Saccharomyces cerevisiae S288C: one gene and its partners. Changing the gene in region 1 together with any one later gene gives a genetic interaction. Each region holds a gene or a part of one and is shown on either strand. Other genes may lie near its edges.

What was found.
Region 2: mutations in PES4 (region 1) and SKM1 together harm fitness more than expected from each alone (negative genetic interaction), as found in Saccharomyces cerevisiae (2 studies listed by BioGRID).
Region 3: mutations in PES4 (region 1) and CQD1 together harm fitness more than expected from each alone (negative genetic interaction), as found in Saccharomyces cerevisiae (2 studies listed by BioGRID).

What each region holds. Positions count from the first base shown.
Region 1 is NC_001138.5:196,750-203,608, reverse strand, and holds PES4 (Pes4p), read right to left. Parts: upstream 3,736-6,859; coding exon 1,900-3,735; downstream 1-1,899. Other genes in the region: LSB3 (Lsb3p), read left to right, coding at 176-222, 317-1,649; ROG3 (Rog3p), read right to left, coding at 4,575-6,776.
Region 2 is NC_001147.6:100,895-108,187, reverse strand, and holds SKM1 (putative serine/threonine protein kinase SKM1), read right to left. Parts: upstream 3,863-7,293; coding exon 1,895-3,862; downstream 1-1,894. Other genes in the region: Rab GTPase-activating protein MSB4, read right to left, coding at 1-1,478; PTH4 (Pth4p), read left to right, coding at 4,263-4,871; non-canonical poly(A) polymerase PAP2, read right to left, coding at 4,959-6,713; MSN1 (Msn1p), read right to left, coding at 7,231-7,293. UniProt on the Saccharomyces cerevisiae protein: May be involved in cellular signaling or cytoskeletal functions. May play a role in morphogenetic control.
Region 3 is NC_001148.4:342,275-349,705, forward strand, and holds CQD1 (Cqd1p), read right to left. Parts: upstream 5,116-7,431; coding exon 3,323-5,115; intron 3,171-3,322; coding exon 2,990-3,170; downstream 1-2,989. Other genes in the region: GDE1 (glycerophosphocholine phosphodiesterase), read right to left, coding at 1-2,465; YPL108W (uncharacterized protein), read left to right, coding at 6,172-6,678; DPC25 (Dpc25p), read left to right, coding at 6,845-7,431.

The DNA of each region.
Region 1 (6,859 bases):
TGGGTGCCCAAATTGTCTTTCTTTATTGTTCGTTTAGTAGCAGCACCCTGTTTGCTCGCCGACTCGGCCGCATCTGGAAGTTCAACATGAAAGAGTATAAACTATCGAAGAAATCTAGAACGGCTTTGGATCACGGGTGGCAAAGAAATCAAAAACAAAAGCTGTATCACACGCAATGGGTATTAACAATCCTATTCCAAGGAGTTTAAAGAGTGAGACAAAGTATGTTTTATACGGGTTTGGCTGGGAAACCTTTAAAAAAGTTCTCCCTTAATTTGTTCATCATTTACTAACTAGTAATAAACAATTAATAAAGAAAAGCAGCGAAGATTTTGGCTAGTTTTGTCAAACCAAACCAAGTTTTTGGTGCGGACCAAGTCATTCCTCCAGACGTTTTGAAAAGAGCTAAAGGGTTGGCTATCATAACGATCTTAAAAGCAGGTTTTCTATTTTCAGGTAGAGCTGGTTCTGGTGTGATTGTCGCAAGATTAAAGGATGGTACTTGGTCAGCTCCATCTGCCATTGCCATGGCAGGTGCTGGTGCCGGTGGGATGGTTGGTATAGAATTGACTGATTTTGTTTTCATTTTAAATACTCAGGATGCTGTTAAGTCGTTTTCTGAATTTGGGACCATCACGTTGGGTGGTAACGTCTCCGTTTCTGCTGGGCCTCTTGGTAGAAGTGCAGAAGCAGCTGCATCAGCCTCCGCCGGTGGTGTGGCTGCAGTTTTTGCCTATTCTAAGAGTAAAGGTCTATTTGCAGGGGTTTCTGTGGAAGGTTCGGCTATTATAGAAAGAAGAGAGGCTAACAGAAAATTTTATGGTGACAATTGTACCGCGAAAATGATTTTGTCTGGTAGGATAAGACCGCCTCCAGCAGTTGATCCATTGTTTCGTGTTTTAGAGTCCAGGGCGTTTAATTACAGACCCTCCAACGGTGGTCGTGGCAGTTTCGATGACGACGAAGACGATTACTATGACGACGACGATTACTATAATGACATTCCTAGTTCATTCAGTTCTACAGATGCTTCCTCCACTAGACCTAACACAAGATCCACAAGGAGAAGAGCCCAAAGCGGTTCTCGTTATACGTTCGACGATGATGATGACGATGATGATTATGGTACTGGCTATTCAAGGAATTCAAGACTGGCTCCTACCAACAGTGGCGGTAGTGGTGGTAAATTGGATGACCCATCTGGAGCTTCAAGTTATTATGCCAGCCACAGAAGATCAGGAACTGCTCAGTCAAGGGCTCGTTCTTCAAGAAATCGTTGGGCTGATGATGAATACGATGATTATGATGATGATTATGAATCCGGGTATAGACGCGGGAATGGAAGAGATAGGACAAAAGACCGTGAAGTCGATGACTTGTCGAACAGATTTTCTAAATCTAGAATCTCGTCCGCTTCAACACCGCAAACTAGTCAGGGCAGATTCACTGCTCCAACATCCCCATCCACGTCTTCTCCAAAGGCCGTGGCATTATATAGCTTTGCAGGAGAAGAGTCCGGAGATTTACCATTCAGAAAGGGTGACGTGATCACAATTTTGAAAAAATCAGATTCTCAAAATGACTGGTGGACCGGAAGAGTCAACGGTAGAGAAGGTATATTCCCAGCAAATTACGTTGAACTAGTTTAAAAAATTTGAAGGAGAGTAAAGAATACGAGAAACGTTATTGATTTACACTTATACCTTTTGCCTTACAGTTTATCAGCACTCGGACCTAAATACATATCATATAGCAGACGGCGTCCCTCTGTCTATCCTTTTAAGAATTTTTTCCATAATAATAATTTTTAATAATATCTAAATATAACGAAAAAGATTGAATTAGTGTAAATAAAAAAAATAAATAAGGAAAACTCTAGCTAAATTAACAAAGAGACATTCATCTTTTAAATCCTAACGAGCTTGCAGCCTCTTCAATTTGTTTTTGCAATACACCTTCATGATATGGACTACTATTTAGCAACGATAAAAATTTGTCCAATATTAACACATCGCGATTCCAATAAGTGTCGAATATATACTCAGCTATTCCGTGCACATTTTCGTCTCTAGTGGCACTTGGAAATCTCATGAAATCTATACCTCTTCTTACTTGCTTTTCGAATGTTTCCAAAACTTTCTTATTGAAATTTTTATTCTTTATTAGTGATCTTGTGCTGCTATTCATTGACGAAAGATCTCTCATGTGTGGGGAGTTCAAACTATTCGCATGTGAGTACTGGTAATATGGGGTAATTTGTGGATGAGAAGAGGTGTGTATATTGCGCATTCCATAACCATCATGATATTTAGGTGCATTATTTTGTCTTTCCCAAGATGTCGTGACGATGCTTCCTCCTACTAAACGGTTATTCAAAAAGTTAAATATTCTCGTAGCATCTTCAAAATTCCTGAATTTGATGAACCCAGAATATGTAGAAGAATTTTCGTCATATCCATCTATCTGAATCTTGAACGGTCTAATATTTTCTTGGTGACATAAATATTTAAGAAATTCCTTATTGCAGACAGCGCTTAAATTTTCCAGGAAAAGTGTAGATATTTTTTGAGATTCTATAAATTTGGCTCTTTCTTCTTTATCCTGTGCCCTGGTTACTAAAAGCTTTTTACCTCTGAAATAAAAATTATTGTAGCGTTTAATTGCCTTTTCTGAGTCACTGCTATTTTTATATGTAACAAATGCCCAAAGATATTTAACTTTAGTGGCATTGGATAGATAAATTGACTTAATTGGACCCACTTCACTGAAGAAATTTAAAATATCATCCCTTGTAGTTATTGTTGGAAGGTTTTTGATGAATATAGAATTTTGGGATGAAGAGTAAATATTTTTAGATTCCTTATCATTCCCCTTGGAGTGTTTCTCATTCAAAGATTGCTCTTTTTCAATAATTGTTTCCGCATCTAATCGTGATTTTTGTGTTTCAAAATTTGGAACACTTCTGACCTCTTTATCAAAATGTATTCCACATAGAATTTTCTTACCAAAAAAACTGGTATTATTGTACATTTTGATCACATTTCTCGCAGTTTTTTCGTCCTCAAAGTAAACAAATCCTATATCTTTCCTAGAGTCTAATTTGCATGATAGAATTTTACCATATCTAGAAAACGTATCATAGAATACTCTTGTTGTTAATAATGGATTATTTAGAGGTAGATTAGAGAAAAAGACATTAGTGCCGAAATTCTTTCTAAACGTTGTATTCCTCAATGATGGCATAATCCTAATTTCTTTACCATTAACCTTCGTGTAATTTAATTCTTCCATAGCCTTTTCAGCTTCTTCTTTGTCTTCAAAATTTAAGTAACCATGGCCCAGTGATTTTTTTGTCACTGAATCAAGACAAACTTTAGCAGAGACAAAAGAGGGATATTTTTTGAAGATCCCTTTTAAAGTTTCTTCAGTAACTGTTTCATGGAGGTCACCAATGAATAGCGGAACTAGTTTTTTACTTTCAAAACTTTTCAATTTTCCATTCTTGTGACCGGATTTGTTGTTGTTAATTCTCAAAAATTCAGGTGAATCAGAATGGCTCGAACTTGACGATCTGGATGTTTTTTCGTGGTAGTCGTCTGGCCTAATAGGAGTAACTACGGGGTTAAATGATATTTTCTTTTCTTGATCTTTTTTTACTTTCAAATCCTGGTTTTTCAAAATATTCAGGGGAACCATACTGAGTATAGAAGGTTTTTTGTTTGAAATAGAATACATGTTTCCTCTTGTAGGTTGAAATTTTTTTTGTGATACTGATTCTCTCGTTATTATTGGTTCGTTCAATTAATGAATAATTAGTTTGATTATTTTCCTCTTTATTTGACCTTAGGAACAGTTTTTAAGGTATACTCTGAACTGCAAATTTTTGTCATAACTCTTGGTAATCAAGGCTAGAAGTGTACTATTTTTGCTTTCTGCACAAGGCTTTTTCTTCGGTACGACACAAAAACAACTATTGTGTCGCAGTCCATAGAAGGAGCAAGAAAAAAGAATGTCTTTAAAGGCGAATGTGATTCTATGCTTTCTAGTACCTACTGTGCCGAATAATGTGTAAGTCTCAAAATTCTTTTCTTCCAAAGCATATCCATAATATTTACCTTACGCTGGGTATTTTTTTTTTGGTCACTCCAGATCTAGTTTTTTAAAACTTGATCCCAACGTAACTAAATATAAACAAGACAAAGCTCGAAATAATATAATGTAATTTAGCGAATGTAGTGTTTATATCACCACATTTGGAGAATGTACAATGAATAGTTTCTCTGTCTCTAATGGAATAAGAATTTAATTTCAAGATTTAATTACTTTATGGTGGACCATTTATCTTATGATATCTAGCAAATCAAAGGATCCCTCAAACTGAAAACCAATAGCAGGATCGACCTGACTCTTTTCAACAATGCAGTGGATTTTTTTGAACTTATACTGCCGCACGCCAAACATTGCATTTATCCCTTTTTCTTTAAAATGCCAGTTAGAGTGCGTAAATGCTATATACATCACTTTCTATATGAAACTATACAAGCTTAATGCACGAGCCGAAACAATATCGGCGACTATCGTTTGTTACCCTTTGATAGAAAACCTCCCATAAACCCAGCTAAAGAAGTAGCCCTCCGTCTTGTTGGTGACCTTTTCATACTATTACTGGATGGGTTATTCGAAGTTTTCGAAGTTAACTCATTAAGTGTATTAAGAGATACCCCACTAGAACTACTTCTAGAGCCATTAATTATGGAAATAGGGGAAGCAGTGCTACTCATAAAACTAGAGGAATGAAAGCTAGTTGGTATAGAAGATGACAATGTTGTCGAAGAGTTCCTGGAATGTACCCTACTGGGTTTTCTTGGTTGCACATTTTGTATCGCACAAGGGTAGGAAGGAGGAAGGTCCTCACCAATGATATCATATTTCATTGCCTTGCCATACGATGGAACCTTGTTCAGGTTTTGAGTCTCTGGATAATTTAAGCCCGAGGGCACTGGTAACACTTCATGGGCTGACACGCTTGGGGCTGGGGATCTTGAAAGTAAAACAGGTGATACGTTACTATGTACTCCTGGCACAGAGCCACTATTGGGACCAAGAGCACTCTGAGGTAAGATTCTCTCCGTGCCATCCTCTGGTGCTGGAACGTTTAGTAATGGAGATAGCGATCTGGAAGCGGCAGCAGACGAGGCAGACGGTGGTAGCCCTAGATTGTCACGTTGATTTCTAATTTTTGTCAACCGTATACGTAAATCTTCTAAATCCTGTTGCTGATCCTCGACAGTCGAACATTCGCTTCCCAAAGGAGTACATGTTCCAGACGTTTCCACAGCCGTGCGAGTGAAAGAACCGCTATAAAGACGATCATATACGTGCATTTCATAATTTGGGGGCGTCATCAAGTCTGAAATGGTAGGAACAGAGCCACCGCTACGCATATCCGCTAATAATTCCAACCCTGTGACTGATGCTGATCTAGAAAACAGATATTCCTCTTCCTCTTCTTGTGATGAGTTTTCGTCTTTCTGGTTAGTGGTGCTAAAAAGCGAATACAAATTCGAGGATGACAATGGTTTTATTGAAAGTGCCACAAATGGTGAAATAAAAAGTTGAATCGGTAAGGACGCTCTTAACTCAGATTTATGACCATCTGGGTTAATTAGGATGATGAAAAATTTGAGCTTATGGCGAACCTTAATGTTAGAGCGGACATCACAATCTTGCACACAGTTTGATAAGCTGTTCGGGATTTGCAGGATGGTATCAATCTCCCACTTGTCTTGGAATGAATGATCAGGCTGAAAAAAGGGGTTATTTACAAAGCAACCATTACCATTAAATTCTCCAGATGACTCGTTCAAGGGATCTTCAAGATTTAGTTCTGTCACTTGCCTATTTTCAGAAATTACTGGAGGGAAGGGGTCACAATATTGATAATTCTCAAATAATACGACTTTGATTGAGCCCAATTTCAAACCTTTCGAAAGAGGTACAATGGAAATATTTATAGGGGTGGCTGAACCAATAGCTACGGCTTTGTTGGGTACTGAAATAGAATAATCCACTTTGTCGGGCCATGAGTTATCTACACAAACAGTTTCTGATAACTCCACTGCTGCGGGTGAAATGGTTCTCAGAACTCTAATATTTTTCCTACAGATCAAATCACTATAATTTTTGCTGCGTTCAATAACGGATTCCATGCTATATGTCACGAAGCAATTTGGCAAAGATTCTACGCTCTCTGGTAACGAACCAGGCAAAATAGCACTAAAGGGAAAATCGTAGTTGCCCTTATCTAAAGTACATGAAGAGGGTGAGGAGGACCCCTTTAAAGACTTCAAGGAACTTGTGGACTGAGCTCTTTGGCGAGTGCCCAAGATATTACTTGATGAGCTACTGCCCGCAAGGCCAGATTGCCCTCTTAAACCACTCAGATACTCCTTGAGGTTAACATTATCCCATGCGTAATTATAAAAAACTTTGTTGTACTTTCTGATCTTTGGCGGCGATGAAGACAACGACGAAGAACTAGCGTCCTGGGGCCTCTCTAATGGTACGTCTATTTGTATCTTCCCATAAAGTCTCAATGATATGCTTTTGATCTGCATGGGTTCGTTAATCGATAAAACGATGCAACCAGATAAAAGCACCGAGGGGGCCTCGTTTGGAGGACCTTTGAGGAGTATTACATCGTTGTCAACATTTTTAAGTCTGATATCGAAAAGCAGAGGCTTTTTCTTAGTTGATTTACCGCTACTGAAGCCCATGTCGAACTTTTTGTATTTTTATTTTGCTAAGAGAGCTGCCTCTATGTAGCAACAATAGATATTGGCTCTTTATCAACGCCAAT
Region 2 (7,293 bases), on another chromosome or scaffold:
TATTTTCTTCTTTCCTTTGGGCGGCTACTCGCCCTTTGTCTATTTCTCGCCATCGCCACATACTCTCTACCGCGATCAATCTTTTCCTGGGTAATACCATTCAACGCAACCTTCTTCTTCATCAGGACTTTCTCAAAGATATCATTCGGATTGAGCAATCTTTTTGGGAAATTTTGAATCACTTGCAAAATCTCCATATCTGCCTCTTCCTGCGTCTTAATCTTGTTCTTTAATCTTTTGAAAGTTGAATCAGAGTCATTACTACCACCGAAGGTGTACGAAGAGTACTGTCTAAACAGTTTCTGGCTTTTACTCTCCAAAAACTCGCTTTCGCTCAATTTCAGTATCCCCAAAGCCACTTTAAATAAAAAATGAGACTCTTCATAGAATAAACAGTCCCATATTCTCAGGGTCGTTTCGATGGGCACCACGCCCACAAAACAGCTCATAAACCAACTTGCCGTACACAGCGTCAGCGTAGGCAGCCTGCAGAGATATTCTTCCCCCGATGCTGGCCCTGATATCTGGTCAGTGCTGCCATTGCCATTCATATACGATGACTCAATGTGTGACCATATCTCGGGTAAATATTCCTTGATACATAACACCAACACCCCTTGATCCACGTTCGCACCCTCTAAGTCTGATTCATACACGCCAGGTAAATACTTACCGGTAATAATAACCAGCATCCAAAATGCTTTCTCTTCTTCCATGAACAATAATAGCAATCCAACGAGAAAATTCATCGATTGGCAGTATCCAATAGTCTTGTCATAAACAGAAAAGGCCATTAATACTCGACGCAATGATCGGATGATCGCCGGCTCTCCATTTTGGAAGGACTCCTTATGGAAATGTATATTATCGGGAAACGTTCGATAAAGATCCCGTTCTATAGCTTCCATATCTTTACCAGATACGGCACCCTCGCGACAGTCACTTTTCAGTCTATCATAAACGCCAACATTTGCGTCTAATTGTCGTTGTCCACCAGCAAAATACCACCAGGCATTCCCTCTCCATTCTGCTGGTATACCTTTTCTAACAAATTTTGACAATTCATCTGTCCTTGCAGGATATACTAGAGGATTATCATTGTGGAGCTCAATCTTATTCTTAAGAAGAAAGTTCTCCCACTTTTTTTTTCTTCTTTCGGTGTATCTATTATATTCTGTCCACCATTTGTCGTATTCTTCCTGACTAATGAAATATCCTTTCTTGCTAAATCCATATCTATCAAAATTCTCAGGATCTGCCATGATTAAGCTGGTAAACGCCTTTGCTTTTTCAAGCTCACGTGTTGTCAATATTTCTTTTCGTTCTACTGTAGAACTATCATCCCCTTCATCGTCGTCATCGTATAAATCAAGAACGCTATAATTGGCATCGTCTTCGTTGAATGACGAAACTGTGTCAAAAACACTTTCGTTCGGTACCAAGGCGGCTTCTGTCGACATAGTTGATGACATTATCATCCTGTCATGCCGGGTTTTGCCTTCTGTGATTGTAAAAGTGTGCGAGTCTTCCTCGATTTTGAATTACTTCGGTGCCAAATGTACAAAATACTATCCTAACTTTTCAAAAATAGTTTATTCTTATAAAATCATCCGTAAAATGATTAACTGTCCCCGCTAAAAGCGTTTGTAAGCTCAGTTCATAGATATGTCTTCCATCCGTAAATCCGCCTAACGAATAGCAACACATTCTTTTTCCTTTTACATTTTCTATTGACATAACGCGAAGCAAACGTATCATTGTTGTTTTTTTTCTATAAATAATCAAAAAGAGTAATTGTTTTAGATGAAATAAAAATGCGATTAAAATATGAATCATACATACGTATATACATATATATATATATTGTTTCTCCTAAATAAAAAAAAGCTAAATTTCAATGCCACTTTAAGGATACTTTGAGCTGCTCAGGGCTGCATGCCATTGACAAAAATTCAAACGTTAGTAGTTTTCTCACGGATGCTCTTGATTCGACATTCACTTGCAAACAGGCATCTAAGAATTGTTTGGTTTGCTTGGACACTGACTCTGGATGACGCAATTTTGGTGAACCGTTGTTAGCTATCAGATACAGCGCCTTCAAAGGATCCTCATTTAGGTAAGGCGGTTCACCTTCTATCATCTCAATAAGCATTATCCCTAGAGACCAAACGTCGACTTTTTCATCATATCCCTTTTGATTCACTATTTCAGGTGCCATCCAATATGGAGTACCTACCATTGTGGCACGCTTGCTTCTTTTTTCTGTTAATTCCACACAAAAACCGAAGTCTGTAATTTTCACTAACCCTTGGGAATTCAGAAGGATATTATCAGATTTGATATCTCGATGGATAATTTTCTTGTTATGCAAAAACTTCAAACCTTGGCACGTCTCTTTTACTATATATGCCATTTGGTTTTCGTTTAACGGCGATGAGTGCTCACCGGTATTGCTCCTTGCTACAGCATCCAATATATCTGTTAAGCAGCCACCTTCCATGTACTCCATTATCACCCATAACTCTTCGTCATCAATAATATAGGCTTCAAGGAAATTAACGATATTTTCTTGGCGCGAATCATTCATCACTAGGAGTTCATTCATAATCAATTGTTTCTTTGGTTGTTCAGATAAACGTATCTGCTTAATGGCCACTCTTTCGCCTACGACTCGGTGGCAATGTGATTTCAAGAATCTCGGGTCATTTTCTTGAGGTAATTTTATTCGCTTTGACAGGTATACTGCACCACTTGCTCCTTGACCAGCCTTTTCTACCAGTTGGAAATACGGTCTTGGGTTTACATCAATTGCAACAGTTTTCATCTTCATTATTATTTCATTCGAATCATCATTATTCTTAAGTTCAAGGAGATCCTCCTTATGCCATTTAGTTTTACTATCATGATTTTTTGTAGCAGGTGCAGATGGTGCTAGTCGATGAGGTCTAAATGTTGAATTATTATCATGCCTTCGCAGATGGCTTTGAATGACTTTCTGTTCCTTCTTTCCTAACTGCTTTGTCTGGGAATCTGCCGTGCTTTCTTTACTAACATGCACCCTGCCTTCTTCGCGTACTTTATTGTCCTCTATGTTGGTAAACTTATAATCATCATCACTAGGCCTTGGGAATGGTTTAAGTTCTGATTGATAGACGGGTAAAATGGAATCTGTTTTGCCTTTTCGGAGCGTCCTACTTACTGATCTCTTGATGGAATTAGTCCTCTTGTTTATAATATACCTTGTCGGACTTTTTAAAGGTTTCAAGTCTAAGCTTGTGTTGAGGTGATCATTGAATTGCATTGTGTCCAGTCCATTGTAATCTTCATAAAATTGCAGTGCTTTAATAACAGCTTTTGAGTTTCTGTTCCAATCGTCGTACGTAATTTCTGAGGTTTGTAGTAGTTTAGCCCAACTATCAGGTACTCCAACAAAGTTTCCCACTTTTGGGTCGAACCCAACGTGTACTTTGTGTGTAAAATTTGTTGGTGATGAAACACCACTAAGGAGAGGACATTTGGCAAAAATGGCATCAAGCCAGCCATGCAAATCCCGTTCGGTTCTTGTGGAAATGAATATCGATCTTTTGGAATTTGATTCATAAAAGTAGGAGTTTATGGGGGATATGTTCTCTTTTTGATCTGTTGCCCGAAGAATCTCAAAACAATTTTGTTTCAATTGTATTCTGCTAACATTTGTTATACTAGTCAAAGGCACAGATAAGACTGGTTCCTCATTGCACTTATCACTTTTGTAAAATGCTAAATACGAATCATTCAGTACCAAGTATCTCTTTTGCCATAAGAACGAAAACAATCCATCAACTTTATAAGATATCCATCCTTCCTTTTTTACGCCCTTCATCGAAAGATATTCTTTCGTTTTGTCTGATTGTCCTCGAGTATAGCTCTACAAAAATTGTACTTATCGTCTGATCCATTGAGAAAACCAGGTGTAGGTCTTCATAAAGCGAATATTTATTCACTTACCACTGGGGACCTCCCCACAGAACTTGATTAGATGAATCTGCGTCCTGTTCCTTCATTCTTTTTTTAGTTTACAACAAACCATAACACCCGTGATGACAACAACAGGAATTATCGCAAATCAATCTTTTACCAGATCTGGAAGCGGATAGTCAACATTTCGTGTCTTCCAAGGGGCTGACGAAATCAAGCGTATACGGTAAAAAAAAACAACAGAATCCTTAACATTACTGTTTGCCTTTCAGTAAATTGAAGGGAAACACGCCAAGAAATATCATATGACAACATTGATGGGAAAGTTTAAACTTACTGGGCGCTCCCCTCTGTTTGTACTTCAACCAATGTTGCACTGCAAGAAACAACAGTTCGTTGAAGAGGCAGTCAGATTGATTAGTAATAAAAAGATCGGAAAGAAATCTGACTTCGTCCAGGCAAGAAACTGGGTAGGAGCACTTAACGTAACGGGCTTGCCCTTAAATCAATTTATTTTACGTTACGATAGAGCCAGCGGGCCAGGAGGCCAAAACGTTAATAAGGTAAATAGTAAATGTACTTTGACACTTTCTGGTTTATCAAACTGTGCTTGGATTCCTCAGGAAGTGAGAAACATCTTAAGTAGCGGCAGGTTTCGATACTACGCTAAGGGCAGCGATTCTATAGTAATTCAATCTGATGAAACTAGGTCAAGGGAAACCAACAAATTAAAATGCTTCGAGAAGTTGGTTCAAGAAATTCGGCAAACGTGCCAATTTCCTAATGATACCACTGCTGAGACCTCAAAGAAATGGAATAAAATAAAAGAGAAAGCCAACAAAGAGCGACTTCTTGACAAAAAAGTTCACAGCGATAAAAAGAAAAACAGAAGTAAAATTAAATTCAATTATTAATACATAATACGCATATTTAAACACACATTCTATCCAGGTACACAGTGATGTACAGTTCAGTGCATCATTTAAACAAAAAGGCACATATTAAAGGGTATAAGGATTATATCCATCTTCATCATCATCTTCGCTAGAGACAGTGATATATGTCTCTCCACTATTTCTCTTGGCCGGTTCACTTTCAGGTTTTTCTTCTATTTTAGCCTTCTTAGCAGGTGGGTTCGTTATTTCATAATCATCATCTGTTGTGGTAGCGGTGGCTGTGGAGGTAACTGTATCTTCGGCAAAATCTTCATCATGAATTATTCTGCTACGTTTCTTGTGATAGTTTTCATTTTCAATAATAGCCTTATTCAGTACTAGACCTCTTTCATCCTTGAAATCTCTTGCCTTTCCACGATATTTGATCACGTTTCCCAATATACTTTTCCCCAATCGATCCTTAAAAGTTGCTGAATGTAATTCAAAACATCTATTCGTCAACAGATCAAAAGCACCAGCAAATGCCTTTTTAATATCTCGAATGTTAAAGGACCCTCGACTGATGTTATTTGATTCATCACCTGGATCTTGAATGGCCAATGAAAATGGATTTTTAATAGGCTGAATAGCACTCCATGTCGATTTTGGAAAGTATACTGGATATCCATCCGATGATCCCAGTGCAACATCATCATAACCAAAATTTTTCCCATAAAGTTCAAAAAACTCTATCAGGAGCACACCCAAGTTGTCCTTTGGATCTATTTCGTTAGTTATTATACGTGGGTGCATATGCAAAAAGGAAAAGACAAGACATATAATACTAAACCCACCAAGACCACCGGTATGCACATTATTTAGTCTTCTTGCGTGTAGGAATTGTTTTACGATAAGGACTAATTCTCTCAGGCCGGGGGTATCGTCCAACCACTCTCTAATAAGCTTTGCTGCTTCAATACCATTTGTTCTCTCAAATGAAACATCTATGTGGATCCCTGAATGTGGCTCAACAAACTTGATGATTGGAACGCGAGCTTTGGCGACAACTTCAACCTCTGTTGCCAAATTTTTTTTTTTTAAATGGCTTGCTAACGAATACAAGTTATTCCTACTTTCCTTACCACCAAGTTCGCTCGTTACCACGCAATCAATATCGGAACCAGGCAAATACAAATCGGTAGAATATGATCCAAACACGTGCAAATCAGCATCTGGCCATAACTGTTTGACAGCCTCTCTTATTGTACTTATGGTTTGATTACGAATTTCAATTTCTTCACGACTTGGTGAGATATAGGCAACAAAATCCTTGATTTCAAAGGTTAGCCAGTCCGAGATTTCTTTCTGTTTGGAGTGATCATGATTTAAAATCCATGGATAATCAGTATTAAGGATTTCCTTTTGCTTTTCTTTTTTAATTTCTAATTCTTGTTTCTCCCTCTCCTCTTCCTGTTCGGCTTGCTCATCCTCAGAACTAGCAGAAAGAGAGATAAAATCATCATTGTTAGCAAGATCCTTCTCATCCCCGTGCACTGCTAATGAAGGCGTTTTACTTTCTTCAGTAGTCGAGGGAATATCAGTAGGGTTATCGAAATGTCCATCGTAGACATCGAATCCTTCATCATCATCAGATTTATGTTCTAATACAAGAATTCCATCCGCCGTGACGTGATCTTTAGGTAATTTATTTGTCTCTTGCTCATTACGACTAGGTAAAATCTCTACTTCGTTTTCGTCGTTCAAGGATATAGACTTCTGTGGTTTCCGTACTTTCTTGATTTTCTTGCTCTTTTTCACTTTCCCATTATGCCGGTTTTTAATCTTCTTTGAAGAAGAGGCTGTTACACTCTTTGCCCCCATATTTCAAGTATAGTTCCCTTGCTTATTCACACTTTATGAAAGCGTAACGTTTTTGGTCGTATATTCAAATGGTTTTTTTTTAATGAAACTTAATAGTTATTCTATATTATTTTCCTCTTTTTTTTATTTTATTTTTTTTTTCACACATTATTTTAGAATCATATACAAGAAGCCGAGGATGAATACAGGTTTCTTCGACACTCAACGTGATAATCAAAAGGCAAGATAAGAAAACTGAGTAAACCTAAATATCTCACGCTTGGGATCCTTTACTTAAATTCAGTTAGGTGTTCAGCTATTCTAAATTCAAGAGCGTAAAGTACAAGGCATATTATATAGATATGTATACGTATACAATTGTTGTTGGCTGACTTCTGAGTTTTATAGGATATTATTAGAGATTATTGTTACAGATACAACCCACTTTAAAGGAAAGTCCAATTATTAATTTATTAAGAAAAGCATAAGTGTTACAAGGGCTAATTTGGGATAAAGGTGAATACACAAGAAGCAAATGTCACTTCAAAGTCTCTGGAATATGAGAACTGTGGCATAACCAACCAATAGGTTGTTTAACCTT
Region 3 (7,431 bases), on another chromosome or scaffold:
AATATACTTCTATTAACTCCCACTGAGCTGTACGACTTATTCAACATGGAAACACCCCTTGCCATTACGTAATTATTGTTATTTTTTTGACAATCTATTCTATTATGGGTCTCCAACGAGCGTGTTCCATATGTTGGCACAATATCAAAATATAATGTATGAGAATAATCAACTTTGAAAGGCACTTTGAAGTCTACTGCGTCCACATTATCATCTAATGGTAAATCTAAGATTACAGAAGATTTATCAATTGAATCATTGCATGAAATTACTAACGATAATGCACAATCTGTTTCCAACCCAATAACTTTTGCTAGTGCTTCCGAGCTTAATGAAATTGAAGGGCTTTTGTTTCTTGTGTCATTACTTCCCAATGTTATTAGTATAAGTGATTCATTATTATCCAGGAATCTGTGTCCATATGACTTTATTGGTCCGGCCAGTTTTCCCAAGGACCCTTTATTACCTCCGTTTCCATTTTCATTTCTCTCATTTAATTCTCCGGCACTAATTTCGTTTAGTGGTTCTTTCTCTTCGCTACCACTGTTCAACTGTGAATGGGGATGCGTGACCAGTTCGTCTCTGATTTGAACCATATCAGCAATGTGCAAATGACCGCGCAATACCGCGTGCTCCATCGGCGTCCACCCACCTTCATCTTCAATATCAAAGTTCGCGTTGTTGGCTATCAAGAGCTTTACAATGTCCGTAAACCCTTCTGCTGCTGCAACGAAGATAGCTGTCCAGCCAAAAAGTTTTTCTCTTATTTCAAGGTCGGCTCCATTGTACAACAAACACACAGCAGCTTCGAAAAAATTTAATCTACAAGCAAGATATAGCGGTGTTTCATGTAATTCGTTGTCTTGATAATTAATATCAAACCTTTTTGATGATAGGAGAACATGTAAAAGGGGATAGTTATTCCACTCAGTGGCCAAATGTAACAAACTTGAACTTTTTAATTTCACGTTCGGATCCAAAGATTGCAATAAGACTTCTGTTGTTTTGGGATGAGCACCCAACACACATAAATGTAAAGGTGTCAATGATTCGGCATCTCCGAACGCGGAAACGTCATCAATAGGGATTTCATTCCAGATATTCCATTCTTTCATTAACTTGATAATCAACTTCGTAACTTCAGATAAGCCATACTGGCAAGAATAATGCAAGGGCGTTCTCTTGTAATTATCATGCTGAAAAAGGCATGGTCTTAAATGAATTGGTAACTCCTCTAAAATATAAGAGAGTGTACAGGCCGAACTTTTTTCCTCCTCTGTAATGCTATCTGATTCTGCCGGGGCAGATAGGGTCGTATGCAGGGTTCTTAAATCTGTTACAATTTCTCCCTCACTATTAGTATATTTTGAGGGTTGTGACTTCTTTTTCCTACTTAAAATTTCCTGTTTTCTGATTAACTTCCCGATTGCAATTATGTGATGATGGAAAAAATTTCTTCTGTTAATATCTTCCGAGTCATTTAGAGACGGAATAACCTTTAAGATAGCATCAATACATGCCAGTGATTTAGACAGTGCTGCCTTGTTTAAAACACTTATCATAATTCTTGTTGGAATCAAAGACAATTCCGAATATAGGTTTGTTAGCTCTCTAATCAATCCTTTGCTATCATCTTCTTCTATAAAAACGCAAATAATCTTAAAGAATTCTGTATTATCATTAGCATTTGCGTTCGGCGAGGTACTCCTCATTACTCTCTCGTAAGAATTTATCCTGAACGTCACTTGTTCCCAGATAGTTTTTAGCAAACTCAAATCTTTGGTAATAAGAGAATCATTAGCAAATTGTAACGGCAAGATTCTAGTTTTCATAGTTGACATTTGCTGATTTGTGCCGACTTTTTTATCCAGTTTCTTTAAAATCTTACCAAAAGCTCTCTTATTTAGTTCAGCGTACCACTTTAAGTTTCTAAATTGTTTTCTTAACTCAGCTAAGATAGACTGAATTTCAATTAAGTCATCTTTATGGTAAGATAGACGGCTGGCTTGACTTGTTCCCTTTAAAAGCATATTCATCTCTCTCGTATCCTTTGTGAGTAAGGTTTGCGCTACTGCATCTTCTTTGTTGGCATCGACCACTAATGTTGATTTTATCTCATTGAATTGATTAGAAGAAAGCAATCTCTCAAATCTTTTCTTATATTCCGCATACTGGGAATTGTAAAATGTATCAACCTTCTCAATATCCCTGTCAACTGCAAAGAAAAACGACGCCAATAACTTTTGGATTTTTGGAGAGTCCAAATAATTTTGAGCACTATTAGATGAATCTCTCATTTTTGTTGGTGGCCTGCCTTCATCATAGCTATTCTTGTTATGTGCCCTATATATGTCTTCTTGAAGTCTTGTAATTTCTTTAATCATTTTCTTCAACGACTTGTAGCCAACATATTGACTTGACCACTCTGGAATGCGATGATTGGCAAAGGTTTTTCCGAACTTCATTGATTATATTGTTTGATTATATAAAGACCTTACAGTTTCAGTAGTTTGTCACCTTAGTTGGAGATAGTGGCTATTTTTGTGTAATTTGATGAGGGTTCCCTTCTTAGTTGGGTTTAAATTTTTTGCTACCGTTGCCTTATTGTTCAATGAAGCACTAATTGCAAAACTTAAACTCTTTAATAGTCTCACTTTGTAAGACAATAATTTATTTTTTACTTCTGTCAGCCAACGCTCTCTTTTTAATATAATGTGCACGTTCTAAAAATAATTCTCTTATTCAGTTGGCGCTATTAAGTGAATTAGAAACGTTTTGACGAAATTTACTATTAAAAGAACACTACGAGTCGATAATGACAGCACTGGTCTAAATTTCAGCTAGAGCAACAGCAAATTATTATTTGTCACTTAAATAAACTTGGTCGTTTTTTTGGAGAGCTAATATGTTGGGACAGCGTGTGTAACATTGCTCCACCTGCGAACACGTGGAAGTCGCAATTATAAAAGATGCATAAAAAGAAAGAATATTAATAATTAGGACACAATTGATCAGTCCTGACAAGATCGTATATTTGCTTCATCGAGAGATGCATTAATTGACGCACTTCTAAACCAACCCATATCTTGAGCATTGATAATGTGCTTGCATCTTTCAAGAGACTTTTGGCTTCCCGCTTAAACCCGAATTCACGTAATATAGGCAGCGAACTGTTTACGAAGAGAAGTTACAAGATGTGGGTATTTTTGTTAGTAAAAGAATTTCTTTAGTAGCAATAAAAAGCAAAAAAAAGCAATAGAAAAGGGTTTTAAAAAATTGATGTTATTCTTTAAAACCGTTAATCCATGCGTAAAATACGAACCTTTCAAATAAGTCCAAGTTTGGATCTAACTGGCGTCCAATACCCTCTAGAAGTAAAATAGCGACCACCACGGAAACAAAGTCGGACTCCATTCTAACATGGTGCGACCTTACCATACTAAGCATTTGATCGAGTAAATCGCCAATTGAGACGGTTCCCAATGTAAATGTTCTTTGTTTAACTTTATCCACTAGCTTTTCTACCTTAAACGCAAATACTTCCTTATCAATAGCTGTTTCTGGAGTTCTTGATCTCTCAATCATCAACTCACCAGCTCTATAACCATCAAATCGGGCCAATGCGTTGAATAGAGCTATGAAATTAATTCTGTTTTTTTCATTCAATTCTGTAATTATTCCTGTATCGATAAAACAAATTTGGGGAGTGTAATTAGTTAATACAGACTTCAGTTTTCCAACAAAGTCCTGATCTTGGTCCTCCTCTATCTTCTTCCTCAGGTCGTGCGTTATTCTGTACGATTCAAGTTCGGAGGATATAATGTTTGTGCCGTATTTGTTCGTCTTCACAAATCTGATTATAACATTGCCTGGATGCAAATCAGCATGAACAAAATCATCAAGAATTAGCATTTGTAGAAACGCGTCAACGAAGGGATCACTGACTTTTTTACAAAGTTCAACGTCGTTAATTTGCTTCTTCGTAGATAAAAACTTTTCCATGGAAAGACCATATACATGCTCTTCGAACATAACATCCCTATTTGACAAGGGGAGAAATGGTTTAGGAAATTTCACCTGAATAGAATTTTTAAAGTTCTCATTGAATCTTTCCAGGTTTAACGCCTCAATTCTTAGATCCAACTGAATATTCATTAATATGGAAAACTGATCGACTTCGCTGGGTAAAGACAGCCATTCCATAGTCGGAATCCAATTTATTGCGTCAGCACAGAATTTCATTATTTTCAAATCTCTCCGGATCTGAGATCTTACATTTGGATGCAAGATCTTGATGGCACACCAACGATTTCCATCCTTACCAATTTGTATATTGTCATATTTATCGATGTACTTTTGGGATAGTTCACCCACGTAAACTTGTGCGATGGACCCAACTCCAATTGGTGTTCGATTAAATTCATCAAAAGCATCTTCGATCTTGTCAACCTTTAATGCTTGAGAAAGTTTTTCCAGAGTAAAGCTTAGAGAGTGAGCTGTAACGTTACTATGCAATTTACCCAACTCATGACACAGTGCGTGAGAGAATATATCGGTTCTCGATCCTGCCCATTGTCCGAGTTTAATGAAACTCGGGCCAGCCAATTCCAATGCTTTACGCAGTAGTTGACACCAAATCAATGAACCTCGAGTTTCAGTTATATTGGTGTCCGTAATTTTGAGTTTATGACCAAACCATGATATGGGGTATAATAGGAGAAGAGGTAAAAAAATAGCTGAAATTTCTAAAAACCTTAAAATCGTGCATACAGGCTCAACAATATTATCATTAAAACCGAACCAAAAGATTCTTAGATATCTTATTAATTTATTTCGTGATTCAGTGATCTTAGCAGACCTGAAAGATTTAAGCTTTTCCTGCAATTCGTTTTCTGAGGAAACGTAGAGGCCCATTTCAAAAGTATCACCTTTGGGATCCGGTTTTAGAGAATCATTGTATATCAAACAATTTTGTTTTGGAAACGAATTTTGTGTCAAATAAAAAGCAATTGACGTAGGTATTATGAACTGTCTTATAGGTATTTTATGAAAATGCCGTGTGGACTTGCTATAGTATCGCCAAGAGTTTCTATAAGCGAACTTTAAAAATGACATTGCCCAGATGGTTCTGATGTTCTTTATCTCTATTCTGTGAGGGTTTGATATTGATGAGTAGGTAGAAGATATGGTATAAGGTATTTTCTATAACATCAAACATCTTTTCTTTTTCATCAAATGAGTGAAAAGGTATTATTGCCCCTCATATATTCGGGGTTATTTATTTTTCGTTGCTTGAAGTAAAGCCTTTAATACACACTTAGTATTTAAACACTTAAGATTTACGAATCACAGATTCTAAATTTGTATTTAATAAATTGATTCTAAGTACAGGAAGTATCAAGGGGGGGGGTTGACAGATAGAATCACACCTTGATTAATTTAGTTCCTGATGAACAAGCCAACTTGACCAATCAAACCCTTTCGCGGCACTTTTTCTCTTAGCTCTGCTTGATACATCGACTGGGAACTTCTTCTCTTTGAGCCAACTAACCTCAATCCCTTAAAGATTTTGTAAACCGCAGAAACACCTGGTTGTTTTCGCTTGTTGGCAAAGGTTAATAACACAGTAACTTTCAATCTTGTTCCGAAGTGCAGAGTGCAGTTCCCTGTGTGTTCAAGTGACATACGGCATTTGAATACACTACACTTATCGTCATGTCAAAACAAGTGTTATAGAAGCAGCGTTAATATAATATTAGTACCTGTACAGTTTTAAACTCAATTGAGTGCAAAGATCTGATGCATCCCATTTTAGTTTCTCATAAATTATTGCTTTGGTTCATAGTTCAATTGTAAGCATTATTAAAACAACTGCTTCTATTTAGACAATACAAGAACGCGATCTTTCCAGTAACTGCCTAATCTGAAATTATGTTTTTCAGTTGCGCCTGTGGCCTACACAACTTGCATAATAAGCAGTTAAAAATAACTCCTAATCTTACTAATCTTGTCGAACTAGACTAGCTGTAATGATCTGTCATATATAAGTTAATATTCAACATCGACTGTAATTGTCAATTCAATCTTGACAGCAACGATTGAAGTCATCGCCTCGCCGTAATTGAAAAAAAAATGTAAGATGAATAACAGCTAAGAAAGATAATAATTTTTATGAAAGAAGCATCTGATAGAGAAGAAGCACCAAAAATGGTGGAAAAAAACTATAGTACAGGTTTTAGGAAAGCCCACGGAGAGAAGGATCAATCAGTGACTAAGCCAATCTCGTTAGATGGTAGAACAGGTGAAGTAATTGTTAGAAAATCCACCGGGAAAACTAAAATACGTAAAGGTCAAACGGAAGAAGAGTATACACAGCAATTGCAGCACTACTTCGAAGTAGAACAAGGCCCTGTGCGGACAAAGGTAGGATGGATGGATGAGGTAGATCCCTTGGTTGAGATCCGGGAAGGCAAGTACGATATCTCCAATAAGCATCAGCGACAGGTGCTTAGTGGTTTCTGCCATCGTTTATTTTACCAATGTAAGTACAAGGAGTGTCTGGATCTCAGCACCTATTTTCTGGGGCTCTTTGAACCGTTCAACGTGAAGAATAAAATGAAGAGGGAGCTTGAAGAGTTGGAATATATGATCGAGCGATGTCGTGGGCATGTATTATAAGCCCGAATCAGATACTCAAATTTGAAAAAAGATATCTTTCTCCTCCGACATGGCCGAACTCATTTACATAAATAGCATAAATTAAACAGAATAATAATACGTAAATTACAACAGTCAGAGGGTGCATGAAACCGTCATTAGATAGAGACGTGATCAAAAGTAGAAAATGATAAGAAATCAGGGATGGTCATTACTTTACAGAATTTATCCGGTGCGGAGGTTCACAAGATACTCCAGAGTAGATATGACTTTTGAAGGAAACACTCAAGATATCTCTACTTCTGTCGAAGAAAGAATGACCACTGTTTTTGGAGGACGCTTAAAGGGTGAACCACCAAGATCCACAAGTAGAGTGCTTAGCGGCGGAACGAAGAAAATAGCAGGTGTCCAAGTGCCTGCAAAACCACAAGAACCCGATAACTGTTGCATGTCAGGTTGCGTTAACTGTGTCTGGGAGATATATAGCGAGGATTTAAGAGACTGGAAACATAGAAGGAAAGAGGCTGCGGAAAAGATCGCAGGAACTAAGGAGAAGTGGCCTAAAGACTGGAATCCACCTTTGGGATTGTTACATATGGAAAATGTCCCTGTTGAGTTACGTGAAAAGAAGCTGGAAACCGATAGCAAAAAAGCAGAACAACCTCATGATTTATCTGCTATCAGAAGTTTGTTCCCTAAAAGAAAAGGGCCTCTGCCCAAGAGTGTATTGGCAGCCAAGAGGAAAAATATTGCTTTGAGACACAATTACGAACA